Linked DNA regions of Pelodiscus sinensis. The protein of the gene in region 1 interacts with the protein of each later gene in a biochemical or structural test. Links are inferred from orthologs where the notes say so. Each region holds a gene or a part of one and is shown in the gene's direction. Other genes may lie near its edges. The genes, in order: ACVR2A, BMP7, BMP2 and GDF2.

Region 1 (8,099 bases):
TAGAGTTTTGCCAAAGTGAAAAGCTGTTCCTTTGTTACCTATGTAAGCATCCTCCTTACCTATGTAAGGATTAGTTTACTCTGTACAAGGTCATCCGCAATGGCACCTCAAAGAACCATTGCACGGTTGTCGTTAGTCAGATGGATATTTAGCATTAGGCCAGTATGGGGAACCATTTTTGGGTCGGAGCTGCATAGCATGGGTTCCCCAATGCTGGGGTGGAGGGGTCTGAGCCTCGGGGGCCGGTCCTCGGGCCTGAGGTTCCCCACCCCTGTAAGGAGGAGAGTACTGATGATAGTCTCTTTGTCCTACTCATCTCTGATTGCCTATATCCACTTGTTGTCTCTTATTGTTTACATATAGTGCAAGCTATTAGGGTATGTCCAAACTACGTACTATTTTCGAAAGAGGATATGCAAATTCCTGTGATAATTTGCATATCTTTTTCTGATCTCACTTCCAAAAACGGAGCTTTTGAAAGCGAAAGTAGTCTGGATGTGTTTTTTTGGGAAAAACCCTTTTTCGGAAAAACTGTGTAAACCTCATTTTTAAAGGAAGAGAGTTTTTTTGGAAAAAGGTGGGTTTTTTTTCCTGAAAAAAAACCACGTCCAGATTACTTTCACTTTTGAAAGATCTGCTTTCAAAAGTGAGATCAGAAGAAAGATATGCAAATTCCCATGGCATTTGCATATTCTCTTTCGAAAATAGAACGTAGTCTATACGTAGCCTTAGAGGCAAGAGCTATCTTTTTTGTTCTGTGTTAGTACCCAGCACTATGGAGTCCTGATTCATGACTGGAGTATCTAGGCCCCATCACAATACACATACTAATAACAACAACTGGTCCAGTCCTGGGTCCTTTAAGCCAAAAGGAGGATGAGTTTTGGGGTACAGAAGAGGAACAGGAAGGCTCAATTGGAGAAGCAGCATAGAACGATTGTAAGGATGACCCTGGCATCTAGAACTTCCAGGGGCTTAGTGAAGACACAGACACTTTCTGCTAGAATCCCACATTTCTGCCACCTCTTGAGTTGCATCACTTGATAGTAAGATTTACAAAGACTTGCCAAACATGCTATGGGCTGATGTGTACACCTCCACATGGGGCAAAGCAACCATCAAAAAGCAGCATATGCCAGCTTTCGTTGGGTATATTTTAATTGCAGAAAAGGTGTGTTTTTAACTCAGATTAGATACTGCATATTAGCTATATTGGGTTAAAACAGCAGTGAAGACAACTTAATTTTTAACTTGGGTTAGTAGCTTGAGTTTGGTGCAAGTCTCTCTGTAGAATTTAACTGATGCTGCTAACCTAGATTAAAAGTAGGAGTGTAAAATCCAGTTTAATTGGCTAACTGGTTAAACATATTAAACTGATTAAAGGGGTGGGATGAATGGGGAGGCTCCTCCCACTGTTAGGCTGGATTACCACCCTCGGTCCCCTGCTGCTGGCAGGAGTGGCTGCTCCAGCCTGGCCAGAACAGTCCATGCCTTTAGCCCTTGTCCACATCCAGTTCCCTGCAGACTGAAACAGCCCTCTGCCTTTGGTAGGCAGGGAACTGCTCCAGCCCCACTGGTTAATCTTCACATCCCTAATTAAAAGCCAAGTTGCCATGGCTTGACTGGTATTTAAACAAAATTAACTACCCCAAGTTAAGAATACACTCATTTCTTTTTTTCAGTTAAGACATACCCCTAGTAAAGCTGGGGCAAGGGACCCTGCTAGTGGAATGGAAGACAATGATTGCTGAAGATTCTACAAACATTTGGTCTATTCCCTACTCTAAGAAGCAGGGCTATTCATGCTGATGAAGGATTTGGTGGCAACCACTGTGGATAATTTAAAGTTACAAACTCTCACAATTTTACTCCAAAATCTTGATAAAGTGGATACATGATATCTTTTCCTTGAAGCCTCAGTTCTTGGTCTCATGTGATTATTGGAATGTGAGAATTTATTTTAAAAAGATAAAGTTTCTAACTCTGAGGTTGCAGAAAAAAGCTTGAAAACATGAATGCCTAAAAGGCTCAAGAAGAAATCCATTACTTTTCATTCAATATCAGGATTTGATTCTGGGGCTCTACCAGATTTCTAGGGTTCTTGGTAAAGTGAGGCATGGTGGGGACAGCAGTTAGGTGACTGGAGACAGATTATTGTTCCTTACAACTGTCTAGGTTGAAAGGCATCTAAGGAAAAGGGCTGGAAACTGCTATGGTTTTCTTTGATGAGAGGTGAAACTAAAATACATTAAAAATAAAACAAAACAACTAAGGGGGGGGACTGCCCTCCTCCCCTTTCTGCTGCTCCTTCCTTCCCCACTCCCAAACTACAAGTGGTATGACAAAATCCCGAAGGCCAAATTAGGATTAGATTTGTACTGGTAAACTAAGTAACTGTGCCTCCTGCTTGCTATACTCCCCAATCCCCGCATCTGTCCTAGCGATGTGAAGGACTAGTCAACTATCCAATAAGCAAATACTTATTGGATAGTCAACTGGCTAGTCAACTAGTCGCTTCCACCCCCCACTCCCCTCCACTTGCTGCCTCTATCAAAAAGACTTCCCTGCCTGACCCCGGGATCCATGTAGCTCCCGAAGGCTGCTGATACACTTCAAAGGTGGAGGTGCCCTGTCAACTAAATGAATATGCATCAACTATTCGATCACTCAATTAGTCAATATTTAACATCCTTAATCTGTCCACTGTGCCACCAGCCTTCCGGTGGCCAGATGGGGGCTGGACTGCAGGGCTTGCCTCAGGAATGGGGGCAGGAACAGGATACTTTGACTAGAGGGGGGCTGGGCCCCGATTAGGCAGGGTGTCTGGACAGGAAGAGGGGTCAAGAGCAGGCTGGGGGCAGGGTTTCCGGCCAGGGGGCAGGGTGTCTGGCCAGAGGGGCAGAGGTAGAACTGGGCTGAGGGCAGGTGTCTGGTCAGCAGGGAAGAGACAGGAGGAGCGGACGGTGAAAGAGCAGGCTGGGGGCAGTGTGTCTGGGCAAGGAACAAGGGGGCAGGAGTGGGATGGGGGGGCAGCAGGGATGGGGTGTGTGAGGTGCTGGGGTGCAGAGTCTGGGCATGAGGCGCTGTGGCAGGGCACTTACTCCTTTTCATTCCATGCACTGGAGGCCTTCTCTACTGCTCCAGTTGTGAAGCCACCTATGTCTTCACTTCAACTTCAACTTCCAGGCCCGGGGTCCTGATGCTCTGCGACCCAGTGGGGAACCACTGCCACCTGCTTGGAACTCCAGCCTCATGACACTCCCCACAAGATTAGAGTACCAGTGCTGGCTTTCTGCAGAGGAGGAGAAGCCCTGAGGCTCCATGCTCAATCCAGCTTGAGCAGTGCATGCACTTCCCTGCAAGCCAGATCCAGCGCACAGCCTCAGGGCTTTCTCCTCCCCCTGTCCCACAGGAAGCCAGTGCTGTCACTCTAATTTTGTGGGGGCGAAGGGGCCATGAAGCTGGAGCATGAGGCAGGCGAGGCAGTTCCTTGCTGGGTCGCAGAGTGTTATGGCCCCAGACGCAGGAGCAGCAGCAGGGCCATAGGCGGTTGGATGGGAAATAGAGGGGATGGGGGATAGGGATGTTAAAGACTAGTTGACTATCTGATAAGTGTAGCATGGAGCCTGGGGTCCCGAGTTCTGGGGAAGTGCCATGCGGAATCTGGGATCAACTGGGGACTCCCCTGCTGACCCCAGGGCTCCTCTAGCATGCAGTGTAGCATGGAGCCCGGGGTCAGCAGAGGACTTACCCTGGGCTCCATGCATTTCAAAGGAGGCACACCGCATGCAGCCCGGACATTTCAGAGGACAAATGTGGAAGTGCCTATGGACTAGTCAATTAATTGCATTTTAACATCCTTAATAGGGGGACAACAGAGCTCGCTGAGTGCCCTACCACTGGTCGTCGGTGAGAGCCGGGGCAGAAGGCAGAGCGGGGAGCTGGAGCCACTTCCTGCTGGGTCCCCGGAGGGCTGCGAGGGTCAGCTGCTGCTCCCTTGCTCTCCTGCAGGTGAGCTGGGGGTCAGCAGGGAGCCCAGGGCTCCCTCTGAAGAGGGATGGGGGTGAACCCTGAGCCATGGCCACCGCTTCCCCTTCTCATTCTGCCAAGGCTGGGGGAGAGGCAGAGCGTCTCAGAGTGAGGTGATGACGCTACCGTCCTACAGAATTTTTTTTTTAATATAGAAAGATCAATAAACATCAATTTCACCATACATATGCAACTTACCCCCTCCTCAAGATATATCCATGGATAATAATTTCAAACAAATCAGAGTGCTGATTGAAAATTTATGAGAGTTTGATTTCAAGGCTATTTACTTTGAATATTTTTAGGCGACATGAACAAACTTGTATTTTAACAGCTACGAATGTTAACTTTTTGTATCTGAACATTTACTGTCATTAAAAACCGATTGCCTGGCACACCCCATAATTAGCAACTGTAAACATTTAGATAGATGTAAAAAGCTTAAAAATAGGCATTCGTATTGTCTGCCAAAACTATAAGAATAAAAATGCAAGGGTGGGGGAGCCCTAAGATCCCCGGGACAGAGCACGAAGGCTAGAGTCTGGGCAGAGACCTGGTCCCACAGAGAACCGTGATATGGAGGGTGCATCTCCTCTGGCTGCGCTTGAAATAGCAAGCGAGGAGCAAAGTGGAGATAAGAACTAAGAAGGGATGAGGCGCAAATGAAGGTGGGGCACGGCAGGGGAGCAGGCGGGTGCGGCACCCACCAGGCCTCCCCGTGCAGTGAAGGGGCACGAAGAAGGGAGTCGTGAGGGGACGCGGTGAAGAACAGGCGCAGACTCAGCCAGCAATCAAGAGCGCGCGCGCAAGTAGGAGGCGCGGGAGAGCTCCTCGCGCACAAGCGCCCCGCCCCAGTCGGGAAGGTGACGCCTTATGCTCAGCCCTGAGTGGTTCCGAGGGCTGTCAATTGGGAACGACTCGCTCACGCGTCCAGTCGCGCGACAAGCAGCCGTGATTGGGGGAAGAGGGGGAGGGGAGCGAGGAGAGGAAACAAAAACAATCGCCCGGGCACCGCCATCTTGGGTTCGTTCTGCACGCCACACGGTGAATGGGTAGATATGAAATTACCACAGGCGAGCCGCAACAGCAGCAGCACGGTTCGGAGGGCCGTTCGGAGCTGCCAGCCGGGCGCCGGGGACTATAAAACCGGCTCCTTCATCCGCCGCCTAGAGAAAAGCCCCGGGCTTGGCCTTTCCTTATCGCCGACCCCTAAACTCAGCTCCTGGGGGGGCAAAGTTGGTGTCCGTCGCGCCGGCTGGGAGACGAGAGGGTTGGAGCCAGCAGCAGGTTCCTCAGAGCCAGGAGTTAACTGGGGACAGAGCTAGGGGAGGGGGAAAAGAGGGTTTCCCCTCCCCCTTTCCAGCACCTTGCCCAGGGCTTGCCTGGTACGTGGTGTGGGAGGCACAAGGAGAAGGCAGCAAGAGTTCACCAGGCTTTCAACCCCCACCCCGCCACCCAAGCCATTGAGGAGTTTTTCTTCCTAAGAAAGCAAAAGTTGGACTGAGTGAAAAATTGTCCAGGTTTCTCCCTTCTAACCACGTAGGAGGCAGAGAGGAAAAATGTATCCGTGAGGAGTTGGGAGAGGGGTATGAATCGAACAGAAGAGCCACCAGCCCAGCACGCAGGAGGAAGAAAGCTGTCACCATCCCAGCAAACACGAAGATCCAGGGCACATCCAGTCATGTGTCTATAATATTGATATCCTTTCCACCGCCACAGAAGCAGCGTTCTCCTAGAAGCACAGCAATCAAGGAAGAAGAGATTTGCCACGCGCTCATAGATCACCTTCCTCCCCAGCGGCTGGAGACTACATTTTTCCTGTGACTTCACTGTTTGAACACCAAATATAGTTTCTTAGAGGGGATTCTTAAAGGAGTTTGAAATTCACTGTTGAGGCAAGAATGTCTGAAATGCACAGCCTTTGTTGAACGGACAAGGAGAGGATCGCAGAAGTAGGAGGGAAGTGGTAGGAGAGAAGAGAAAACGTTCGGCTTTCATTAACTTGAAAGGGGAAGCCCAGAGATTTATTTTTGTGGAAGTGTAAAGGCTTTTTTGTTTGAGGTTGTTGTTTCTCCTCCCATCCTTTTCCCTGTGGTCACAATACAGCTCGCAGCATGATTGAAGTAAACGTCAATGTTGCCCACATGTGGCTGGTAACTTTTTAGACAGTTTTTATAAAGAAACTGACAAGTATACTATTCCCTTCTTTATCAGTGGCTTACTGCTTTTTGACGTTTGAAGCTGAGATGGTACTTTTTACTCAAACACTACATGTTGTATAATAGGAGTGAGACTGAAAATATACTCTTTACTCATTTCAGTAAAACTTGCTTGGTTCCAGCGCGACGAGGGATACTTTACAGAGCTTAAAGTAGAAAAAAGCTGAACTTTCTCTGAGACTTGGTTCTCCTTCTAAACGGCGATTTATGCTGTTGACTTTTTATGGATTCTTAACTTTTTTCCCCCTGAATTACATTTTTCCACCACTTGTACAGAAGCCAAATGACACATGTGTTTTGAAATGCTTCTCCAAATATACACCCTTGTATCCGGGATCTCGCTAGAAAGAGCTGGAGCGGTTGTCAGTATCTAAATAAAGCTGATTTTATTGTTTTGTGAACACTCTAGACTCCAGAAATGTTCTAGTTTGCTTTATAACGGTTAAATTTGAAGGTTGATTTTTTCTGTTTGGAAAAACCAGGAAACACGAGAGTAGGAACACTACCTGTATGTTCTAACTGTATTTCGAAAATGGGAGCTGCTACCAAGTTGGCGTTCGCTGTCTTTTTGATCTCTTGTTCTTCAGGTAAGTAAACTTAATTTGGTCAGTTTAAAGGTATCATTGTGATACCAAAGCTTGTGGAATTAGTACGATTTGCAAACGTCTTTTTTGAGTACTGTATATTTGACTTGGAATATATAGTTTCTGGTTGATAGTGACTAATAGTTTGAAGTGATAAGGTTGTTGTAGATGACAGCTGGGGTGGTATCCGTTCAGCACTTCTATTGTATGCGTTCTGTAAACGTAAAATTAGTCCACTGCAGAATTGATTAATGGAGTACCTTTAAAGCTAATTACTTATACTATTTATTAATATTATAATTGAAGTTTCCTTATGTTTAAAATGCTCAGGAAAGTGCAGCATGACCAACTCCTCTAACTTCATTTAGATGTTATTTTGAGATACTCATTATTGAGCTTTAGCATGTTTAAAAATAATTCTGAAAGCACTGTATGGAGGGGGAGTTGTGTGTATGCACAGAATCAAGAGAATAAGGTAAATTTAAAATCCTTATCTGGATACTTTGCAAAACCTAACATCTTTTAGCTACCTAATACACTGTTTATCACTTTTTGATTTTACAAAAGTACATGTTTAAATGGCTATCTTTAGTCCTATGAAACAGTGTGGTCCAAAAATTGTTCAGTGTAAGCATTTTTCATGATAGCAACTAGTGTTCGAAAAAATTAATAGACTTGCATTTATTTGGAACGATCCTTCGGAGAGCTACTGATCCTGGGTATTGTAACTGATTTTAACTTTTTTTTTTTTTCCTTAAGCTTTACAACTTGTATACTGTGTGGTTGTGTGGCTTTTTTTTTTTAAACACATTCCTTTTTGACTGCTTATGCACTGTTGTGTGCAAAAATAAAAGTATTTAGCGTTCTTATAATTGTGAGTTGATAGCTGGTTTTATCTGACCCTATTTCTATCTTGTTCTAACTGCCTGGCTAGTTTTCTGTAAAAGCTTCTTTTATTAAAAAATAAATAAATAAATAGAAAATGGTGATATAGAATTTTGCTGAATGATCCATTTCCTTGTGGTTATTAAATGGATGCAGTCTAGTCTTGTGTCTGTAGTGTTATTGATCAGTTCTGTGTGGGCTGAATGTGCTGTGAAATGGCGATCACTGCCACAGATTAACCAAAAGAATTAATCTGTTGAAATGGAACATGTTAAAGACAGCTTGATTCTTTTTAATATCAGAAAAAATACCAGTTTTTAACAATCATGATGGTTTATGTTTAAGTAAAGCCCTTCCTGAAACACTGATTATGAAAGTATTC
Region 2 (8,498 bases), on another chromosome or scaffold:
GCTTTTGCTTATTGGTTAATCGACTATACTATTACATTCCTAGCTCTCACAGTTAATGTGTGCAATCAACATACACCTCACTTCAGATGTCCTTGCTTTACATGCGGGTCACTTTAGTAATACCAACAGGAATGAAACTATGCAGATGGAAACTAGTGGAATCTGGCAACTCTGAGCATGGGCAATAGTAAACAAAATGTCTTGTGAGCCACATACAGAACCTTGACAGGCTGCAGGTTGTCCACCATTGATCTAGTGTCTGGTGTCAATCAACAGTGACTCTAGTGAAATCTGTGGTGATCTAGACCAATTTTATATGTCAATCTGCAGAACTCCTTGCCACAGGACGTTGTGAAGACTAGGACAAAAAAGAGCTAGATACATTCATGGAGGTTAGGTCCATTAATGATTATTAGCTGGGATGGGTAGGAACAGCATCCTTAGCCTCTGTTTGTCTGGAAATGGATGACAGGAGAGGGATCACGTGATGATTACCTGTTTGTTCACTTCCTCTGGGGCATCTGACATTGACCACTGTCAACAGACAGGATACTGGGCTAGATGGACCTTTGATCTGACTCAGTATGGCCATTCTTATATTCTTATACATTTACAATTAAAATTTAGTTGTCTTATTCAAGCACTCAGCATTTCTCAGGATTCATTCCCATGATACCATTTAAATTTTAGAATTCAAAGGTCCCTACTGTTCCAAAACTATTTAGTCAAGGCTTCCCCACAGGAGTAACAGTTCCCTTCAAATCTGTGTGCACAGCTTCCATCACTGTGTCTTCTCTGATCAGTAAACCAGGGCAACCAGAGCTATGGTTTAATTAATATAATGTGATTAGCACAGTCCAGACCCAGATTAGTTCAAATTCTTGGAACAGTGCTAACATGTAGCTTATCCATAATGTGATTACTTTCATGTTAAGGAATACATTTGTGATAATGGTGTTAAGAGGAATGAATAGAAACTTTGATAAGTATAATCCAATGTGGTGTAATGCAATATGCAAGCTGTATATGTAATCTTATAAAATAATACTGTTTTTCTTATTGTTAGAATTTGAGTCACAGGTACAGGGGATGGGGGCGGCAGGAAATGGAAACAATCCAAAGGACCCTGATGATACAATCAGCATTGACAAGATTCCTAAAAGACATTTATTTTAGTAGAAGCATTTGGAGGAAGAAGTAAAAGATGCTCAGCAGTGTTCAGAAAGAGGATTTTGTTCCAGGCATTAGAAATGGCAATCGAAAAGTGCAAAACTCAAAATGGGTAAGAAATAGAAATAGTGGAAGAGGGCACTGAGCTGTAAGAATGAAAAGGTTGAACTTGATGTAGAAAAAAAAGGAGAAAGGAAAATAATATATTTTGGGCCTGATTTTAAAACAAGTTAGGCGTGAAACTACTTTCCTAATCTGTTTGTAGTTACTGAGGAGAAATTTGCATGGAAATAACCAGAATTAGCCATTGGCAGATCTCTGCTTAATTTATATTTATGATCTCGGCAATAATACATGCAATTGCACATGTATTTGTGTGCCTATATTGGGGGGGGGGGAAGGAGGGTTCATTAAAAAGGCCCTTTTATTTTTAAAGTTGTCTCTTCCACTAATCAGGAATGTGCAGTTGCCTGCACCAACAAAAAGATCAGTAGGTAATACACAAAACAGATAAAAGGGTTCAATTCATTAAGACACCAAAAAGTAGCTAATCTAGTATTTTAGCCTACATGTAAACCTCAAGAAAGAGGCAATTGGTTGGAATTTTGTTATCTAAAGAAATTATCTAAAACAACAACTGTCAACATGCAGGCATTGCTTCATCACAAGCATTTAGCTCTCCCTCACTAACAAGGAGTAGGAGAAAGAGAGTCTAGAGAAGAGGAGAACAGTAAGAGGAAAAACTGGTTTCTTAATTGATCTGGGAAGGAGGAGGAGAAAGAGGATGATGACATGGGCTGCCTATATTTCTAGCAATATGTCTGCAGTGCTTAGGAGCTGAACTTGCAGGGAACAGATGAAATGAGTTTAAATAGCATGCAATACATATGGGAGGGGGAGAGGGAGAGGGAGGAGGATGAAATCTATCCTAATGATAAAATTCTCAGAGGGGTAGCCATGTAAGTCTGTAACTTTAAAAACAAGTCTTGGGGCATGAGAGATTAACAAAAATAGAATCATGAGCTTTCATGGGTAAAAACCCACTGCAACTTATCTGATGAAGTAGGTGTTACCCATGAAAGCTCATGGTTCTATATATTTTTGTTAGTCTTTAAGGTGCCACAGGACCACTTGTTTTTATACCAATGATAGTACAGACTATATAACCTATATAGATTGGTGAGTATTTCAAACCCAAAACTGGATCCTAATAATAAAGCTTGAGCCCATTTCAGTCCTTATAGAATTATCCTTTTTTCTGCACATACTGGGAGAGATTCTGCTCTTGTTTAAAACCCATAACTCCACTGACATCAATGGGGGATAAACTTGTGATGTGAGAAGAATTCTCTAATAGCTTCCCTTTCTTAACCCACACTCATAAAGAATCCCCTTAGTATCATTTGTTATAGGTAGAGAAGCAGTGGCATATGCATATAAATCTGGCATGCATCTATTTCCTATTGCACTTACTAGCTTACAACCACAAACCAGACATTTTATGAGGGAGGGAAAAAGTGTGGAGGAATTACCTGCACAGCTGCTTCAAAGAAAGAGTTTGGCTCATTGATTCTTATCATAACCCCCTTTCATAAAAACCCAATTGCTTGTTCACAATGTCATCTCTCTACTTCATTCTCAATGTCTGTCACACCATGCATCTTCCTTTTCAATTTAGGCAGGAAATGAAGAATAAGACCATAGAAGAAAGCAATACAATTATATAATTTAATGAATGAAATCTTTACAATATCTGGTTTGTTCCCAAACAAGTGCTGCATATTCCCTGCCTCTCAAGAAAGGACATAGCCAATATTAAACTGATGCACTTGCTCACAGTCAAAATAGGCAACTTAAACCAACTTAAAATTATAGGAAAACTTAAATAGAGAACAAAGAGATATAAATAACCTCTTAGGCAACCAGAAAAGCTCATCAAGTCTAAAATTTCATCTCCCATAAAAATGATAAACTAAGTCTTAGCAACCAGTTTCCTGATAAACTGGAATTCAAATCTTATACAACTACTTTTCTTCCCCAAACAGGCAAAATTAAAGGGACACTGTCAACTTGAAAACTAAGTGAGCTACAAGTAGTTTCAGATACCACACCCATTCTTGAATCCCCTTTGCCAATTCTGATGTTTGACTATCATTTTTAAGATGTTTTCCTTTCTCCTGTGCTGAGTGAAAAACCCACAAACAAATAACATGGGAACCAACTGGCCATATAAGAGGAACAGTGGAAGTGACGTGGTGCTGTAAATGTACAAAGGCAACAAAGTAAAACAAAACAAAACAAAAACCTGCCAAATTTCTCTTAGTTATACCCTTGACAAGCATTTTCACACACAGAAAGGGCCTGATTCTCAGAGGTAATGCGGGTACCAGCACTTCTCAGGATCAAGCCCAAGATTTCTATAAAAGGCGTAACACACACAAAAAGTAGTGTTGTGTATAGAACTTCAGGCAACTGAAATCACAGTTAAGCCAAAATGAAGGGACTCTGAAGATCAGAAACAAGAGACAAGCTTTATGTAAACTACCCACTCCTTCCCCCGGCTTTACAGCTGGCTAGTAGTGCTTGTATACAAGATTCTGAGAACTCATTCTTGTTGCCTCCAATGGGCACCCAACCTCCACCCTGAGTTACGAGTTTTGAGAAGCATTATGGGTAAGAGGAATGAGAACAGGGCATGGTTAGGAGTTTTCTGGCTGTATCACTTACTCAATGGGTAGCCATAAGGAAATTGACTATATGCCTCAGTTTCCCCTTTTATTCAGTCTACCTCCTTCCCATAGGTTTCGAGATGAATAGCTAGTTATTGGTTATATAATGTTTTAAATTCACAGAGTGATGTAAGTGCTGAATGTTTGTGGGTGCAGAAGGTATGCAAGATCAGGTGTTGAGACTTTGGCATATAATAGACTCATCAGGAAACATCAAAGACATGGGACTGTCAAGATTAGTGTGACTGACCCACTTTCTTCAGTCCCCCTTTCTTCCCAAGATTCAATTAGAAAGTCAGCACCTAATGTGAATTATTTTCACTCCTCTCTTTTCAAAGAACTGTTGGGAAGCTGTAGTTAAAGTTGGTGAGTAACTCTTCTTATTTTTTATATCATCATAGATTCCAAAAAGCCCAGCCATGGGCCCCATTGTACTAAGGGGCGGGGAACCTTTCTTGAGTTGGGGGCCGCTGACCCACAGAAAAATCAGTTGGAGGCCACACACAAGTGAGAAGCAAAGTGAGAAGCCCCTGATGGAGAAGGAAAAAGACACTCCCACATTTCCCTTGAACACCAGAGCCGGGGGCACCCAAGCGACTAAGTTTTGTATGCTCCAGGCCTGTGGATGGGTTGCAGAGGGGCTGGAGCATTAGCACGGGCTCCCCAATGTGGAGGGATCCCTGAGCCTTGGGGGCCAGATCCAGGTAAATGTTATTGATAGTATTTTAAAGTTTCTTCTATCACCCCAGTCTTCCCTGACACTTCCTTACTAACCCCCTCTTATTTGCCCCCTCCCCTCTATTCCACAGCTGCCCTTGGAAAAAGTGACCCTAGTTTCAATGACTATCCTATTTATATCATGAAATTGTAAATCTATTCATTGATTGGTTTTCCCCTCTGGACAGTATGTGAATATATATTTCTCTCAAAGAACTGCCCCCTCCCCTAAACCTCCCCTTCTCTCTTGGGTGCTTTTTCCTTAACCATGTTTACATGATAAAACAAAAAAGCTGTCATGTCGCACTTTAAAGACTGACCAAATAATTCATTAAGTGATGAGTTTTCGTGGGGCAGACCCACTTCTTCAGATAGAATGCAACTACTTGGAAATGGCTCACTCTTTCTACCAATCCAGCCGCTTCCATAACATCCTGAAAAGCAACCTGATCAGATGTTCCTCCTCTAGGCAGGAACATGGATTTTCTTTTCTAAGCAGTTTGGAGAAAGAAGGGGGGGGGGGGGGGGGAAGAGGCAGAGAGAGAGAGAGAGAGAATGTGTTGAGTTTTGCTGCCTGCTCCTCCCACAAGATACAACCTCCTGCTGCCAGTGCTGTCTGCAAAGCAGCATTTCAAACAGTGCTTAGGCTTGGCTTGTGAGGAGTGAAGAGAAAGAAAAAGAGCGAGCTCAGACTCTGAAGGAAGAGGGTGAAAAGCAGCACTCAAGATTTTCTCTCTCCTATCCTATGGATTTTACAAACTAGACCCCCCTCTCCCCCCCGCCAGACTTTTATCATGAGTGCACTGCCGCTGGATCTCCCGAGGAGTCCTCTAACCCAGTGAGCAGAACTTTGTGGGGCAGGCATTTCCCCTCCCCAGCTGTCTTTCATGGTAAAGTATTTAGCCCTGCTCTCCAGCCCACGGGGGCTCTTTCTCTCCCCTCCACAGGGAGCTGCGTGAAGGAGGAGAGGAGAGAGAGATGCATGTGGGGTGGTTCAGGCAGGCTGCCTCCTGGCTGCTGGTCCTGTGGGCTGCTGCTCCCTGCCTGTGGCTGCGCTGCATCCTGGCCGATTTCACCTTGGACAATGAGGTGCACTCGAGTTTCATCCACCGGAGGCTGCGGAGCCAGGAGCGCCGGGAGATTCAGCGGGAGATCCTCTCCATCCTGGGCTTGCCCCACCGGCCCCGGCCCCATCTGCACGGCAAGCAGAACTCTGCCCCCATGTTCATGCTGGATCTCTACAATGCCATGTCGGTGGAGGAGGAGACGGCAGGAGCAGCCGGGGAGGAGGGAGAGGGATTCTCCTACCCTTACAAGCCCATCTTCAGCACCCAGGGGCCACCCCTGGCCAGCCTGCAGGACAGCAACTTCCTCACGGAAGCAGACATGGTGATGAGCTTCGTGAATCTGGGTGAGTCTCTAACCCCCATCCCGGGGGAGTCTGGGATGAGATTTTTTGGTGGGGGAGGGGATAAATGCCTGAGTGTTGGGATTAGTGCCTGGGGAGGGGGTTGAGATGGGCAGATCCGTCTGATGGACAAAGGAAGGACAAGAATGTGATAGCCCATGTGTCTCTACTGGTGGCCACAGGTGGCCCTGGTGGCAGGTGGCTCCAATGGTGGGGAAGGGAAAATAAGTAGCCCCAAGAAAAAGTACTTTTTTGTTACATCATATGTAAATGGCAGTAATCTTGAAATTCAGCTGGGCAGAGCTCAGCCTCTATTTCACATCATTAGGGTTTTTAGAAGTTTATTGTGCTGAATCAGCGCTTACCTCTCATGAAAATTCTTCCTCCTCCTGCCGATAAACTCCTTATTTTCCCAGTCCCAGAGATGAGGTTCTCAGAGGTGAAGGAATCATTAGTGGGCCTGGCCTGCCTCAGGAACCTCCAAGGAAGATATGAAACCTACCAGCACAAGATCATGAGCTGCCTTGTAGTTCAAAGCACTGAGCTTAGAGTCATCTAATGCCGCTAGAGTAGCTGAAAATGGATGGATTCCAGTGCAGCGGGGAAGACTGCATTAACTGAATTGAAAGGGCCAAGCTGCTGAGAGTCTGTTTTCTTAATTGCTTTTGTGGGTTTCAGTGGCAAATCCTTATTTACTCCTGCAGTGCTTTCTACTTTCTCTACATAGTCTTTCTTCTAGTTTTAGGCAGCTAGTTGCTTTCTTTCACAAGCACATGTGGATGGGTTTATGCAAAGGACCTGAAAGTTGCCACACTTTGAATGCAGCTCACTAGGCCCCTAATTGGATGCCATGGTCCAATCTGAGTTCTATTTGTCTGCTGTAGATTGTATATCCTTTTGGACTAAACTTGTCTGGATTTGAGTAAAATGCTGACAGGGCCAACATTCTATTTTAAATATGTAATTATAGGTCCCAGTTCACTGTATCCAGTTTTAGCACTCATCACGTGTGGCACTGAAACCACCGAATGTACAGATTGGGTGCCTGCAATTTTAAGACCAAATCGGAACCGTAGTTTCAAAACAAGATCAACTCAAAGTTACTTTGGGACAAGGAGCAAGAGGCATAGACCCAATGCACATAAAATGGTGCAGACCGCACCCTTACATTTAATACTGTAAAATAATAATCATTTAGGGCTTACTGGTTGTCACTATGTTTCACCCCATGGCCACCTAGAACTTCATTGTGGCAACAGAAATTGAACTATAATCCTTCTGGCACTGTACCTAAAGGAGAATCACTAATAGCAGTATAAGCTCTATGTTATACCATTGAATAGGTATGACTATATACATTATCATTCCATTGCAATTTTGATGAAACCTGGAGATGGAGTATTGTATGCTGGACTTCTAGTGTCCATAAGTCATACATCCATATTAAATACCATGAACCTCAGATGAGTGCTCTATGAGTTTCATTTGATGAGGGGCTACACTTTTTTGAAAGTGATAATGGGTTCAATTTAGAATTAGAATGCTCGTCTAATCACTTTTAAATATGAAAGCCAATCATCAACGATTCATGTTAAAAATCAAACATCTCAATGTCCAAAATTACAGTTGGTGGTCAAATATTTGACTTTAAAGATAAGAGATGTTGACACTGTGCTTGCTGGTACCTTAGTTTTAAGTATAAAGTAAAGCCTAAGGCTGAAAGTGCAGGGACACTCAATAAAATCTAACAGAGAACAAAAGATGGTGAAATAATGAAACAAATTCCCATTTTTCTTTTTATATTTTAAAAGTATGATTTTATGAAAGGAATAAATAACTAACAGAATCAACTCCAGATAGATAAATGTTTTTCTCTAGGGGAATAATTATATCCTTTGTAAAAAGCAAAAATTAATTCCAACAAAGCTTTCATAAGTACTGCTCTAGGACCCCAGTCTTATACTCATTGTGTAAGGAAAAGTCTCTTTGAAATCCATGGGAGTTTTATGTAAAACCTATTAAGATGCAGGCCCTAAAGTAAATTATATTTTCCAAAGTGTGATTTTAGTGAAATTAGTCAACATATTAAAAAACAAGGACAAAACATTTTTTGGATAGCTCCTATAAGAGTATCACAGAACACATCAAAGCAATGGCATATATGTAAACAGCAGGGCCAGACGGAGCCATTCTAGCACCCCCAGCAAACAGGTTAATTGCGCCCCGGGTTGGGGGAGGGCGCATGCGCAGCCCTGCCCCCGCACCGGCTCGTGGGGGAGGTTGCATGCACTGCCCTGCCCCTGTGCTTGCGCGTGGGACAGGGCGCATGTGCGGCCCCGCCTCCGTGCCGGCGCATAGGAGAGGGAGCATGTGCAGCCCCTCCTCTGCCCGGCGTGTGGGCAGCCCTGCCCCCACCTGGCACGTAGGGGAGAGTGCGTGGAGCTGGTGGCAGCAGGACACACATGCCCGGCTCA
Region 3 (7,461 bases), on another chromosome or scaffold:
ATAAGGAACTTCCCCTTCCACAGAACAAACAACTAGCAAGAGAGAGTCCCTGCTCCAAAGTCCCTTCAGGATCTGAAACAAAATACAGGACGATGTAGCACTTTAAAGACTAACAAGATGGTTTATAAGGTGATGAGCTTTCGTGGGCCAGACCCACTTCCTCAGATCAAATAGTGGAAGCAAATTGTCACAACCATATATACCAAAGGATACAATTAAAAAAAATGAACACATATGAAAAGGACAAATCACATTTCAGAACAGAAGAGGAATGGGGCAGGGGAGGGGAGGAGGTAAATGTCTAACCATCTTGTTAGTCTTTAAAGTGCTACATAGTCCTGTATTTTGTTTCAGCTACACCAGACTAACACGGCTACATTTCTATCACTATTCTTCAGGATCTGGGCTTTCCATTCTGAACATAAAAGAGGCAAAGGATGGAAGGGGAAACCTCTCTTCATTTACTCCAAAATATCCAAGGCTTTTATGGCCTTAACATCAGAAGGATCCGTGGGCCTATTTATATTTACAATCAGAATGGCAGCAAACCTCTTGATGTTAAATCAGATCAGAATTTATCCAGGCCTTTGGAAGAAATGTAGACGCATTTCTCCCTCAGACGGTTCCTCATCCTACTATAGTCACCATAGGTAGCATCCAGTACAACCCATGCTCCAGGCATAGAGATGAAATATTAAGGCAAGAAATGGCTTTTCCCTGGTGTGGTCCACTGCAGAATGAACTGGAAGGGCAATTAGCCACCAAAGTGCTCATTTAATGTCAGTGATGTGTAAACTCTATTGCCATTGTTAGTTTAGTGCTGATTTACACAACTGGAGTGCCCTGACGTCACACTGCTTGCACCTTAAATTCAGGCTAACGAGCTCCAGGAAGTCATAAAATTGAACCTGATCTGGGAGTTCCTAAGCTATCACCCTTTCTAAGGCTTGAATTTCAGCTTGGGCTATCACTCTTCTCCATAGGTGCAGGGTTTTGCACCTGGCTTCTCCATGCCCAGGGGCCGGCCCTGCTTCCCACCCACTGCCGGTTCTGCCACCCCCAGGGTCCCTCCCACCTGGCATCCCCGTGGGTTCTGCAGCTTGCCATTTCTGTGGTCCAGGCCACTGGCCCCAGAAAATCTGCTGCTGCTCAGCATCCCACTCCCAACCCAGGGCTCCGCAGCCACCTTTAGCTGTGGCTAGGTTGCCAACTCTCCTGGACCGGATACACTGGACACCATTTGTGGTAATAGCACCCAGGCTGTCCGTGAGAGTTGGCAATCCTCGGTGTGACCTCAGGCTGGAAAAGTGAGAGGTGTGAACAGGTGTGTGTGTGTGGGGGGTGCAGCTTAGCACCCCCACCTTAAAAATAGGTCCAGCACCACAGCTCCTCCCCACACCCACATCTCAGATTTGGCTTAAAGCCTTTCCAAAGCAACAAAACTAAAACAAAATAGGTCATTCTTTTGCCAGGGTAAGGGTGTCTCCGTGGGGAATTGCACCAGTGCGACGTCATTGAAATGATCACCTTAGATTATAGAGATGCAACTTTTCTACTAAACTGCAAAAAGAGCCAATCAAAATGGTGGAAATGACCAGGGAACTGTCTCCTGTTGCTTTAAATTCTCCACATGTTGCTTTACTCTGTCAGTACCATCAGCCCTTTGAAAAGGCCTTGCACCCCAGTGTGGTGCTCTGAGGAAGGAAAGTGACCAGGGATTCCAGGCCGTTCAAGTGAGAATCTGTGCTAGGATCTGGACAATTGATTCTTTGTGTCATCGTTTCTATTGCATTAGTGTCTACAGGCATCAACTCTGACCAGGGCCCTATGGTGCAAGGCACTGTATATATATAAAAAAAGGGACTGCAAGAAGGACAAAGAATGAGGGAAAGAAAGTTTTAATATCCCTATTCCACAGGGACCCGTGATGCAGAGGGATTAAGGCCCAGAAGATAGGAGCCTAAATTCTAGCCCACTGTCACACGAGGAGTTTGGGGCAGATACGGAAACTGAAGCCAGTGAGTTAACCATCTTCTTTCTGTTCATCCGAGACACATCACCCTTCCTGAATCCATCCACCTTGGCATCAGAGCCTGCTCCTTCATCCCTCTCATGCTCTAAACTCATCTCCGAAGAAAAGCTTCGGCAACCTGGAGGAGCTGAGGCTGCCAACTGCCACATCGAAGGCTTTGACACTGTCACACTCCAACACCTGCGATAGCATGGACTGGTGCCGGTCGCGAAGATGGGCAGGTAAGCTGCTAAGCCTACAGACTGGTGCCCTGCTTCTGCTGAGTGGGACACAGAAGAGAATTCAATGGTAAAGCCAGCCCCAAAAAGGGGTTTCAAATGGGGATTTGCACATCCAGAGAGCTCTGACACATTTCCACCACTGGAGGGCAGCCATATCTTAAAAACATCCAGGGACTCAGCAAAGCAGCGCTGAACTCCCAAGGAGGAGGGGGCTGAACCTAGAAAGTCAAATGCATTTAAAATGATGCTTCCCCAAGGATAAAAGGCATTTTCTCAGGAATCTGACACGTTTCTTTCAATTGGGGCAGCCCATGATGATTTCCAGCTCCCCATGCTACTTTTGGGCTGTGACATGGAAGGTGTGAGTGGCAAATGTTATAGCAGGGAGCTTCACATCCCTTCTGCCACTGCTTATCAAACTGGATGCTGGAGTTTAACAAAGAGGGGGTTATGTCACCCTGCGTCCCAAATCTCTGCTCATGCCTAAAGACGCAGTGTCATAAAAGTGGCCTTTCACACAGTGTCCTTTGAAGGAATAAAATAGTCAAGGTGCTTTTGGGAGAAAGAACAGATTTCTGGGGATGCTCCCCCTGCAAAAAAGAGCCACAATGAACTTGATAGAACCATATATGAGCTTAAAAGAACCCATATATTCTTGATTGTAAAGTCATGCCTCTGAGATCTTTTGAATATGAAAGGTTGTGTGGCTGAGAGATACCACAAGCAAGAGATATTAAGCTCCTTCATTTCTGGGGTGCAGATGGGTACTCAACCTAGTTTTTCTTGGTGGCGTGATAACAGCATTTAGTTTTCCTCTCCAAGAACTAAACACACCCACTGGAATCGAAACAGGTTTTTGTTTGTTTGTTTGTTTTTAAAAGAGAGAAATGAGTTTTTTGTGATCTGTGCAAAATTCAAACAATAGTTGAGGTTTGCTCTAGATTTGCCCAGGGCTATTATATTGCGTTGACCGTCCTAACGTTAGACAGAGTACACTTAGACACTGCAGGTTTAGATTAACCATTCTGTTGCTTTGTATAAGTCTTTGATCCATATCAGCTGCAATGGGCCTAAAACTATTTACACCCAGGACCTGGGTGTAATGTTGATGTCATTAATTGCAAATGCTTTGTGTGCCTCTGCTGAAAATCAGGTGTGTGGGGATTTTTAAAACTTTTTTTTCTACTGGCCTAGATTATTTGAAAACACTCCAATTCTTCCAAAACCTGCTTTGACCTTCACACCTTAGAAGTCAGCAAACACTGAAATCCCACAGCACGAAACTAATCCGATTTGTATAAGCAGCGCACGAGACTTATTTCACTCTTCTTTTACTGAGGGGTCATTGTTCAGTATCCATCTCTGACTTTCCTCTGCGTTTCCACGTGTAGGCGCAGACTCCAGCTAAAAAGTTCCTAAGTCCACAGTTTTAGCCCATGCCTGGTTTGATCCCAGGTCTCGTATTGTCTAAGGACGGCGAGACGACAAAAGTCCCAACAGGGCTCTAGCTCTTACGCCTCGGAAGAACCACAACAATCCTCGGGACTAGATTTTCTTATTACACGTGAAGCTAACACTAACAGCTACCGGCTGCCAGCCTGCTCCAACTGCTCCTGGAGCTTCCCCTCGTTGGCTCCTGATTTGCAAAAACCACGCTGCACATTGCATGTCGCCCATGGGCCTGACTAGCTCCCGTCCAGCCTGGCACGGCCCCAGGAGAGGCGATAGGAGACCGCGACAGGGGGACATGTCGATGGGAGGAGAAGCAGGTGGAGGGGGAAACCATGGATCATTCTTTTCCAGTGTGGGAACTGGGGACACCCCCCCTGGCCAAATTCACTACCCGGCTCCTGGATCGTCGCAGGTGATGGGAGTTGCCTGGGACACAGTCAACCTTCTGCCTCGGAGGGAAGGCACGTGGAGGGAGATGCGAGTGGCGCTGCTGTCCCTGCTTCCTCCCAGAGGTTCGGCCATCAAGCGAGGCGAGGGGGGAAGCAGGAGCCGCGCACACACTCCTCCGCGGCGGCGGCGTCGCCTTTAAAAGCAGCGAGCGCGGCTCGCGGCCGCTCTCCCGGCGGCGCGCTCGCTGATTGGCCAGGCGCCTCCAGCCCCCGGGGCCGTGACATCAGCAGCGCCACAAAAAGCCAAGGAGGCTTCCAAGGACCTCGAGCAAGTGGCACCAGAAGCGCGCGGGCCGGGCACCCCGCGGGAGGACGCAGCGGCCGGAGAAGGCAGCCCCCCCCCCTCCTCCCCCGTTGCAAAGCGCCTGCTGCTGCCGGGGCCGCAGGGAAGGAAGAGCCCGGGCGCTGCGGGACTAGCCTGGCTGCGGATGCTCGGGGCGTGTTTTTTCCACGGAGCGGCATAGAGCGCGCGCCCCCGCGCGGCGTGGCGAGGCCTCTCCCCCCAGGGATGTCTCCGCGGCGGGCGGCCGCCGCCGTCCGGGGAGCCGCGGCGGAGTGACAGCCCGGGAGGGATGCCGCAGCCAGGCGCCGCCCAGCGAGCCCCCCCTGCAAGGCACCGAGCCCCGGCGGGTCGCGGCCGGCCGGGTCCGCGCGGCATGAGTCCCCGGAGAAGCCATGGGCTGCGGCGGCGGGGCTAGAGCGCAGCCCGGGATCCGCGCAGCCGAGGGACTTGCCCTCTCGCTACTGAGCCTCGCCCGGAGAAGTAACTTCCCGAGCCCCGCACGCACCGGATACAAGCCCCCGCCCGGCTGGGCACCCCCTGGCTCTGCCCACTTCTATGTGGAGCCCGCGTCCATGGCCGGCCCCCAGCGCGCTGCTTAGGCGCTCGGCGGGCTCCTAAAGGTAAGAGCGCAGGGCGGCCGGGCGCACCTGTCCCGCGCCTCCCCTCCCCACGCGCCGTTCACACGGGCGGCTTCCTCCACTCCGCTTCGAACGCCGCGCGCATGGAACCTGTTCTGCGTGTGAACGCGCCACGGGATCCGCCCGGGGAGCGCGGGGAACCTCTTTCTAGAGGTGCGGTGCTGGCCGTCCTGGGAGCCCCCACCTCCTTTGTCTTGCACCCCCCCAACCACCCTAGGTGCTGGAAGTAGGGGTGCAGAGGGGTACTGCGGCACCCTGGCTTGGAGTGGCTGCCATTCTAGACGGGCTGTCCAGGTGGGTTCAACCGCCCCCAGCAAAAACTGCCCCAGCACCTCTGCCAGACACCCCCTGAAGCCAGCCAACACCTGGACAGCTGGGCATGGCACTCGGCTCCTACCTGGCCATGGAGCTGGCCAGCCCGGCTCCTGGCCGCTGACAAGCGGCCGTATCTCTGGCCACGCTATGGTCCGCTGCGGGCTAGGCTCTTCTGTGCAAGGGGGCTTTGGATCAGGCGTGCAATCCGGAGTCACTACGGGGGGAAGCGGCTCCAGGTGCAACAGAGCACGGGGTACAGCGGCTCGCTGCCAGATGAGGTTCCACGCCCCCTAGCCTCCCTCGGGGGGGGGGGGGGGAGCCGGATCGGGCCCCCCCCCCGCTCGGGATCGGGCCCCCGGGACGGGCTTGCCCTGATTTCCCACCCTCCCTGTCTGCGCAGGTTGACCATGGTGGCCGCCACCCGCTCCTTGCTGGCGCTGCTGCTCTACCAGGTGCTGCTGGGCGGCTCGGCCGGCCTCATCCCGGAGGTGGGCCGGCGGCGCTTCAGCGACTCGGGCCGCGCCGCCCCGCCGCCCTCGGAGGACCTGCTGAGCGAGTTCGAGCTGCGCCTGCTCAACATGTTCGGGCTGAAGCGGCGGCCGAGCCCCAGCAAGAGCGCCGTCATCCCGCCCTACATGCTGGACCTCTACCGCCTGCACGCGGGCCAGGCCGCCCTGGGCTCCCCGCTGGAGAGAGCCGCCAGCCGCGCCAACACGGTCCGCAGCTTCCACCACGAAGGTACGGCCGGGGGGCTGGCTCTGCGCTGCCCCCTGCAGGCTGCGCCCGCGGCTCTTGGGGAGCTCTCCCGGCGGGGTCCGCTTCCCCAGGAGGGGTCGGAGGATAGGTGGGCACGGGGGGAGTGTGTGAGAGCTGGCGTCGCTTCCTAGGGAGCCTAAGCGTGGGCTCCGTTGTTGTGGAGTAGTGGGTGTATGAACTAGTGTGGGGGCGAGCAGGGTGCGGGTGTGTACCATCAGCACTGGACCCAAAAGGGGGAGGAAGGATAGAAGCGGGGAGGGGGAAATCTTTCCAAATAGTTTGGAAACTTCTGTTTCATTTCTCTTGTGAGTTTCTCTGTCTTGTTTTACAAGCTGGGCATCAAAACAGGCTCCCTCCCCCCCCCCCCCCCCTCGAATGTCCCCAGGCATTTATTCTGAGCATCTCCTCCCTTTCTCTCTCCTCCTCACCTTCTTCATCCCATGTGGCATTTGCCCCTCTTGATTTTTACAGCTTGGGTTCCAATTAAGCATTCCCACCCAGGGCTTTCAAAGATAAAAGCTAAATACCAGAAAAGTCTCCTTAGTTTACAGTTGGTCTGGGTTAGTTTTGGGAAGGTTTCTAATCCCTGGGAGAGATCAATGCAACAATCAGTAGTATTGTTTGCACAATGACTTTCTTGTCTTGGATTTGAATCTAGGGCAGATTTAGTGTAGATCTAAAGGTAAGCCTTCAAAAACCAGGTTGATAAAAGCATTGCCACAGCTGGTCATTGGACTTCATGCGCACCTGAGCCTTCAGATAACATGGTCACCTCTTAATTAAGATGCTGAATGCACTTTAAAAGTAGATTAAAATGGGTACTCACAAGAGCTGGCGTGTCTGTGGCGTAAAGTAAAGCTATTGAGTTGTTCAAACTTTTAGTACCCATCATATTCTAGTTTTAAGTGTGCACATAAATCCATTTGTTGTGAGCTTTCCACGTTCTGTGAGTTTGAATCTAATGAACTACATCAGTACTATAAAGCTGGAACCCTACATATCAGTTAAAATGTAACTAGTTTTGGTAACTGACACATTTTGCTGCCTTTTTCGTGCTTGGTAAATGCATACAGAAATGATGATCTTGACCTTCTGGACATGATTTTTTTTTAAATTTATTTTTGCAGTTAATTGGTTTAGCAGTTATATGTCTAGGGACTAACTTAAATTTGCAGCTACTAACTGGGGTAGCTAATCTGATACAATAGACTTGTAGAGCGAGTAGTTTTCATGTTGCTCATCTGCTTGTCACAAATAAAAGTAATAACTTCTATCTATTAGTCTACAGTGGTGGTATGTTGTAGTCTCACTGTAA
Region 4 (7,847 bases), on another chromosome or scaffold:
GACCACGGTGAGAAACAGCTCCTCCATCCAGGCCTGTGGTCTGAGGTAAAAATTCCTCCCCTGTACACAACGGCTGTGTCTACACTGGCCACTTATTCCAGAAAATCAGCTGCTTTTCCGGAATAACTTGCCAGCTGTCTACACTGGCCCCTTGAATTTCCGGAAAAGCACTGACGATCTACTGTAAAATCATCAGTGCTTGTCCGGAAAACTATGCTGCTCCTGTTCGGGCAAAAGTCCTTTTCCAGAAAACTGTTCCGGAAAAGGGCCAGTGTAGACAGCACAGATTTCTTTTCTGCAAAAAAGCCCCGATCGCGAAAATGACGATTGGGGCTTTTTTGCGGAAAAGCACGTCTACATTGGCACGGACGCTTTTCCGGAAAAAGTGCTTTTCCAGAAAAGCATCCTGCCAATGTAGACGCGCTTTTTCCGGAAATACTTATAACGGAAAACTGTTCCATTTTAAGCAGTTCCGGAAAATCATGCCAGTGTAGACATAGCCACTGGGTGCTCTTAAAACGCAGAAGACCTGGGCTCCATTTAAGAGTTACGCCTGCAGAGCTAACTTTTGTGTTCAGATCTGCGAGCGCAAGAAATCACAACACCGGCCCAACATTGCGATGCCAGACAAAGGCCTAGTCTAGGCACAGTTGGATACTTTGCTCAAAGAGCTGGCATAAATCATTCTGCCGAAGGAACTCTTGCTGCTACAAGTTGCATTTCCACTGGGAGGTTTTGCCGGGAGAGCCAGATGGGCAAAGCTTTTAGGTTTTAAAGGCCTAGCCTAAGATTTTTCCAAACGGAGTACTGATTTTAAGGCCCTTTGTGCTGGGTTGCCCCATTGGAGACACCCGTGGGGCTTTTCAGACAGCGTAGAGCATTCGCCGTTTCAAAATCACGTCCCTCTAAGACAGGTCAAATTTGGCATCCAAAAATTACGTGTCACTTGAAAATCTTGACCCTCAGCCGATGACTTTTGAGCTATGACATGGTGAAAGAGAGTCTGGAATTGGAGCACCTGAAAAAAATATCACTTCAGGCCATTGGGTCTCAGACTGTGGGGTCAGGACCCCAAGATGGATCCAATTTGAATGGGGTTGCCAGGGGCAGCTTAGACTTGCTGGGGCCTGGGGTTCAAGCTGGAGTCCCCCTGCCCAAGGCCAAAGCCAAAATCTGAGCGCGTCAGCCTTGGGTGGGGCTCAGGTTACAGGTCCCCTGTTACGTCCTTGGTGCTTTAGCTTTGGCTCTCCCCAGCCCTGAGTGATGGGACTCAGGCTTTGCCCCCACCCCACCTGGGGCAGTCGGGCTTGGGTGGGCTCAAGGTCCGGTCCCCTCTCCTGCAGCCATGAAGTGGTTTTTGCTGTCAGAAGCGGGTGGCGGCGCATGAAGTTTGCTCCATCCCTACTTGGCCGCAGGGGATGCCAGTTCCAGGGCTGAGCAAACTCCTGTGGACAGAAGCCATCAAGTGTTGCCTACTTCTGGAGTAGGAAGTGGGCCTGAAACACTTGCCCATGTATCACAGGCCTGGCGAGAGACCCGAGGCCTAGGCAAAAGTAGTCAAGACTTTGCTAATAGAAAGCACAGTGGAGCTGTGAGCAAGAAGCGCTTAGGTTCAGCTCCGACTCCTACAGAACCAGTGCGAGTTGGCTCAATCCTTTAGGCTTTGCCGTAAACGACTGCGATTGCTCGTTAGCTGGGGGAGTGACAGCCTTGCTGCCGTACCCTGACTCCAGTCTTCTTTTGAAGGGGATGTGCTCAACCTATCTCCATCGGTGGCTGAGAGCATCCTATATATCCCCTCACTGGTGACCCCATGAACTGAGGAAATCCTTTCCAGCCTGTTAGCTCCTGAGGAGACTGTTATAAAAATATTTCCCTCAGTAGATATTGTCTATCAGCAGGCCCTGAAAACTTGCACCGAGTGTACAAAAGAAGTTGGCTGAGGAGATCTCTGGTTCACTGATGTTAATCTACTATATATCTGAGAGAGTTTGTCTGTCTGTCTGTCTGTCTGTCCAAGAACTCCTCAGCGGGAAGAGCTAGGACCACCACATTCGGGAAGCAGCTTCCTCTTGTCGTGGCTTAAAGCAAGGTCAGGTTTCGGTTGTGCCAGGACAATGGGGAGTGCGTGGAATGGGATTGCGTCTCATCAAACCATGCAGAAAAGAGACAGACTTACCAGGCAGGTGAAAGAGGCTGGCTGCACGTGCACCCTTCCCCCCCATCTTAGACTGCTCCAGCTCCGAGGCTCCTACCCCCCATGCACCCTTTAGGGAAGGCGGGGGGTGGGGCTGAAGCTCCCTCCTGCTCCCATTTGTAGGGGAACATTGCTGGCGGTTCCCCTTCATCAGGGAGTGAGGGGAGTGCTGTGTTTGCTGCATTCCTCTCTCTGGCTGGAGAGGGCAGGGGGCAGATGAATCCGGACCTGCGCCAGCCAGGGAACAGGCACGCCTCCCCCAGCTGTGCCCACTGGCGCTGCAGTGGCCTTGCAGAGGCGCTTCTCACTTGACCCCAAGCGGCTGCCATGAGAGGGTGCTGGGGTAGTCCTCTCCCCTGTGAACTGAGCCCCTCCTCCCCAGCCTGACTCCAGAGCAATGATTCAAATGAAGCGTGAATATTTTTATTGTATTTTCCAAAACCCAAAAATTGAGTCAAGGACCCCAGCAATGCCGGGTAAACTTCCGGTGTGTCCTACATGGTAGAATACCTGGGCTAACATTGTGCCGGTATTTAAAATGGGCAAGAGAGGAGCTGGATAACAATAGGTGGGGTAATAAGAAATCAGTCCTGGACAAGATAATGGATAAGTCACCTCTAGTTCAATTGCTGAAAAACAAAGAGGAGGGGATAAAGTCATCCCAGCTATTGCAACCAGCAATGAGGTCTAGAGGCAAAACCTTTCCTGGGTCTTTGCAATGGGATATTTTGCTGAGGAACTGAGATCAATCAGACAACATGGCACCCAGATACTAGGTGTCAATTGGTTCTCTAAAAATACAGCGTCTGTGTCTACATTGGCACCCCTTTCCGGAAAAGGGATGCTAATGAGACACTTCGGAATTGCAAATCCGCGGGGGATTTAAATATCCCCTGCGGCATTTGCATGAACATGGCTGCCGATTTTTCCGGCTCAGGATTATGACGGAGAAAAGCGCCAGTCTAGATGCGATTTTCCGGAAAATAAACCCTTTTCCGGAAGATCTCTTATTCCTACTTGGAAAAGGGTTTATTTTCCGGAAAATCATGTCTAGACTGGCGCTTTTCTCCGGCATAACCCCAAGCCGGAAAAAAGTGGCAGCCATGTAAATGCAAATGCCGTGGGGGATATTTAAATCCCCCGCGGATTTGCAATTCCGAAGTGTCTCATTAGCATCCCTTTTCCGGAAAGGGGTGCCAATGTAGACACAGCCAGGCAGAATTGGTAACATTATCATCTACACTTGGATTAGAGCAGATTAGGCTCAATTAGATTCAGCTGCAAGTCATCTTTTTAATGTTTTAACTGGAGAGTTTCCTCCTGGAGATGCACAAAACTCTACCACAATTCTTATTTTTGTCTTGGCCAATATTCCCATGAAAAATCAAACATCTCCCTGGCTCATGTTCAGTGACTTCATAGAGACTTTAGGTTTCACTCCGGCTTAGTAAACCTGGCTTTATCTTCAAGAACAATTAGTCATTCTTGCAGTGACAGAGGAATGAGCTAGTTAAACCAGCGACCTCATGTAGAGGATTCTAAGAAAATACATTACATAACATACTACAAAGCCAGATTTTTTTTTTTACCCTTCCACTAAAGGATGCAAACTAAAAATGGACAAGCCGGCTAACAAGTTGAGGCAAACTTGACACAAGACAGATAGCTCACTCTGTACAAATAATAGCTCTTGGCCGATAAATGGAAAGCAATTTTAAGACTGTTCGTATTGTCATGAGAGCACAGCTTGCTAAAAGCACAGGGTTCAACCAGATGGTTGATTTTCGGAGGACAGGCGTAAAGGACCGTGGTATAGATTTGAGGGGTGATATTTTCTCCTGGCGAATTGAGTAGTTTGTTCTTACTCCCTGTTGTTATTTTTTTGGCATGGGGTGGAGGGGGGAAGTAGGGAAAACCAGAGTCTTTTCCTCCACCCCACCCCCCGCCCCGTTAAAAAAGTTCCTCTGAAGCCCTGTCAATGTTGGCCAACCCCGCCCCCAACGATAAAAGAGCATAATTAAGCAACGATGACCCTGCAGAGAAATGTGGATTCTTTGCAGCATACAATGTCCAGCCACATGTTTGTCAGATGTTTACAGAATCTTCATTAACGAAGAGCTTTGCAAGATAACAGAAACTGAAGCATGGCATCATGGCTTGAGATAAGGGCAAGTGTCCAACCAAGCTGCCTGACAACTGACAAGAGGCTGGGGGGTTGCAAACGAGCTCGAGAAAGTGATTTGCAAAGGGCTCTCACTCCAGTGGCTCGCCTTCCGTCTCCCGTTCTTCTGCCTCGAACGGGAGGCGCGATCTAGTCAGCTGGAAGAACCCGGTCCTTTTCCCACTTTCCGACGGAGGCGCATCCGTGAAAGATGTGCTCGTGGGGGGCGACGGCGGCCTGGCTGGTTTTCAACATCATCGCTTGCGTGGCAAGAGGCAAGCCCTTGGAAGCCTGGGGTAAATTATCAGAGAAATCCTTCGGTGAGCCCAGCGAGGTGGAGGGCAAGACCCCTTTCAACTTGAAAGCCTTCCTGGAAAACATGAAAGCCGATTTCCTGAGGAGTTTGAACTTATCCGGCGTCCCTTTGCAAGAGAGGTCTAGAGAGGAGCCCCCGCAGTTCATGATCGATCTGTACAACAAGTATGCCACGGACAAGTCTTCCAGCCCGGCCTCCAACGTCGTGCGGAGCTTCAGTGCAGAAGGTATGAAATGTCTTACACCTATAGACCGGGGTTGGACAAGAAGCTAGAGAGTCCGTGTCAAATCCCATTGCAAATCAAAGGGACTCAGGCACCTAACTCCCTTGGGCTTCTTTGGAAAATCCCCGGCATAGTCTCTTTTGTTATCCTTTCCGCTGCTCTTCTCTTATACTCTTCCAGGTCCTAAATCCTTTTCTCTGAGTCCACATTGTGCCCTCTTGCTTCTCCAAGAAGCAAACGAAATATTCCAACTCTCCAAACAGAGTCACCACAACTTGGCTGCCTTGCCTTTGTTTTGGGGCTGAGATTTGGGGCTGAGCTGCAAAATTTGGGGGTAGGTTTTCCAACACCCCCAACTCTGGAGGATGTTTGGCCCTTGGGCATTGCTCCAGCCCTTTGTAAAGACAGGAGTCGAACGGGAAATGGGACTCCCGATTGCTGCTAGGAACACCAGCCTTTGCATTCAGAGATCGGGAGTGAGTGGGGCTGGGGGGTTTGGTTCAGAGCCCCGCTCAGCACCTCAGGAACATACCCGACCATCCAGGGCTTAATTTGTGCCAGGCCTTGCCCAGGCAAAGGCCCTAAACCTCTCCACTCAGTAGCAGTCTCTAGGCTGGCCCTAGCACCTCTGGGCTTCCTGCGTCACTTACGAATGTAAAAAATTCCTTGCGGCCCAGCACCTTTTTCAGCAGAGTTTCAGCCATCTAAGACAGCACACGACTCAATCCTTTTAAAAGCCCTCTCGTTAGAATCAATAAAAGGGGCGGGGGTGTTTTAAGTGAATTTGGTGCTGGCCGAAAGAACCAGCCAAGACAAATTCAAATGTCCATGTATCTAGACCCAGCACAGACGACAGCGTGGCAGCCGTCTCCACATTCCCGCACAAGCACACCCCCTTCTCGGTGTGAGCTAGGGTGCAGGCTCCCTGGCCCCTCCTCTGCTCTGATTGGCCAGGGAGATTGGGGAAGATGCTTTTGGCAGGGTGGATGCTTGTGAGATGACACCCACCCACCCATCTCACAGCCATCAGCTGGGGGTAACTTACCAAAACCCCTTACAGACATGCCTCGCACCTCCAGCTCCCATGGCCTTTGGCTGGAATTACGTCTCTGACTAGCCAGCCCTGCCCGGGAACAGAAGCAGGGATTGGGAGAGGAAAGGCTCCATTTCCGAATACCAAGCTCCCAAGCCAGCCGGAGCCAGGAGCTTCTCCATCAGACTTGCAAAGGGTTTGATCGTCCACTTTGGTTCCTCCCTAGTGCAAGATGTTTTGTGGGGAAACTCAGCTACGATAGCTATAAACTAGAGATGTAGGTTCCATATCCCTATGCCTGAGCCTCCCCCTCCAGGGGAAGGGGAATTTGCCCCAGCTCACGATCATGGTCGTGGGATTTGTACTACCAACCCCCAGGGAGGTTTACAGCTGTAATTCCTCTGCAGAGGCCACATGGCAGAGCCTTTATGGGAAGCCACTGCATTTGCACACGCCCCTCATGAGCCAACACCACCCACTTTTGGAGCTGTGCTGGCACCTTGTGTGTGGACACATCACACTCATGTACACACACACACACACACACACACACACACACACAGGGAGTCTGAAGGTGAGGTTACTGTGGATCACAACTTGATCCCTGGTGGATTTGCTACCCATAGGGACCTCCCTCTGGGTTTCACTCTGGAGTGAAGCCAGTTCATTTATTTAATACTGGTGGCCATGGTGTAACGTCACTCCCAGCAGCTACTAGTAACGGGTGGGCATTTCTTCTGAAACATAGCATGCCACCGGCGAAGTGCGTTCGTCTTCATTGGATTAGCCTCTATCCTAGGAGGCAGGGTGACCGCCTCTCTTAATTTCCTCTTGCAGATGTTGTCTCTATGGCTTCCCCAGAAGAAAATCCATTTCAGAAACACCTCTTGCTCTTCAACGTCTCTATCCCCCGGCACGAAGTCATCACCAGAGCTGAGCTGCGACTCCACATTGCCTGCAGTAGGGACGTCGGGCCTCTCTCAAGGCTGGAAGGCAAGTTAGTCATTTATGATGTTACCGATAGACATCTCTGGCAAAGCCCAGAAGGCGCCAAAGCCTTCCTTGTCTCCCGAGAGATCCAGGAATGCGGATGGGAAATGTTTGAGGTGTCCGGTGCTGTGAAAAGATGGGTCAGGGCAGACAAACCCAAGACCAAAAACAAGCTTGAGGTTGTGGTGGAGCGGAAAACCCAGGGGGACTCCGTTTATGGGAAACTGGACATCAGTGTGTCGCCCGACACGACACAACTGCCCTTGCTGGTAGTGTTCTCCAACGACCACAGCAACGGGAGCAAGGAGACCAGATTGGAGCTCCGGGAAATGATAGTTCATGAGCAGGAGAGCATGCTGAAGAAGTTAGCCAAGAACAGCACTTTGCCTGAAGAGGAAGAGGAGGGAGAGGCGAAATCCATATCCGACCCCGGGCTCCACTCGCCTTCATCCAGAAGCAAGAGAAGCACCGGTAGCAACCACTGCCGGAGAACCTCCCTCCGCGTGAACTTCAAGGAAATCGGCTGGGATTCCTGGATCATGGCGCCCAAAGATTACGATGCATTTGAATGCAAAGGGGGATGCTTCTTCCCGTTGACGGACAACGTAACCCCCACGAAACACGCCATCGTCCAGACCTTGGTGCACCTCAAAAACCCCAAGAAAGCTGCCAAGGCCTGCTGTGTTCCCACCAAACTGGATCCCATTTCTATCCTCTACATGGATGACGCTGGGGTGCCCACTCTGAAACATAAATACGAGGGGATGAAAGTAGCAGAGTGCGGGTGCAGGTAGTCGAGGGCAGCTTTCGGAGCACGGTCTGACCTTTCTGCTCCGGTGTAAATCTGTACGTTACTGGTGTAAATGTAAATCCACGCACGCAAGCTTCTTTTTTATAGGAAAAAAACCTAACGCTTCCCAGAATGTA

Evidence for each region.
Region 2: the proteins of ACVR2A (region 1) and BMP7 are reported together in a solved structure, tested with the Homo sapiens proteins (2 studies listed by BioGRID, with this or other methods). The link is inferred for Pelodiscus sinensis from reciprocal best matches to the Homo sapiens genes ACVR2A and BMP7.
Region 3: the proteins of ACVR2A (region 1) and BMP2 form a complex in vitro, tested with the Homo sapiens proteins (3 studies listed by BioGRID and IntAct, with this or other methods). The link is inferred for Pelodiscus sinensis from reciprocal best matches to the Homo sapiens genes ACVR2A and BMP2.
Region 4: the proteins of ACVR2A (region 1) and GDF2 form a complex in vitro, tested with the Homo sapiens proteins (2 studies listed by BioGRID). The link is inferred for Pelodiscus sinensis from reciprocal best matches to the Homo sapiens genes ACVR2A and GDF2.

Annotation. Positions count from the first base shown.
Region 1 is NC_134717.1:25,486,922-25,495,020, forward strand, and holds the start of ACVR2A (activin receptor type-2A), read left to right. Parts: upstream 1-4,999; 5' UTR 5,000-6,780; coding exon 6,781-6,835; intron 6,836-8,099. UniProt on the Homo sapiens protein: On ligand binding, forms a receptor complex consisting of two type II and two type I transmembrane serine/threonine kinases.
Region 2 is NC_134728.1:14,405,587-14,414,084, forward strand, and holds the start of BMP7 (bone morphogenetic protein 7), read left to right. Parts: upstream 1-5,181; 5' UTR 5,182-5,594; coding exon 5,595-6,027; intron 6,028-6,389; exon of another isoform or gene 6,390-6,522; intron 6,523-8,498. UniProt on the Homo sapiens protein: Growth factor of the TGF-beta superfamily that plays important role in various biological processes, including embryogenesis, hematopoiesis, neurogenesis and skeletal morphogenesis.
Region 3 is NC_134713.1:192,410,124-192,417,584, reverse strand, and holds the start of BMP2 (bone morphogenetic protein 2), read left to right. Parts: upstream 1-4,389; 5' UTR 4,390-5,057; intron 5,058-5,790; 5' UTR 5,791-5,797; coding exon 5,798-6,128; intron 6,129-7,461. UniProt on the Homo sapiens protein: Growth factor of the TGF-beta superfamily that plays essential roles in many developmental processes, including cardiogenesis, neurogenesis, and osteogenesis. Induces cartilage and bone formation.
Region 4 is NC_134718.1:5,221,385-5,229,231, reverse strand, and holds the start of GDF2 (growth/differentiation factor 2), read left to right. Parts: upstream 1-4,337; 5' UTR 4,338-4,569; coding exon 4,570-4,900; intron 4,901-6,767; coding exon 6,768-7,714; 3' UTR 7,715-7,847. UniProt on the Homo sapiens protein: Potent circulating inhibitor of angiogenesis. Signals through the type I activin receptor ACVRL1 but not other Alks. Signaling through SMAD1 in endothelial cells requires TGF-beta coreceptor endoglin/ENG.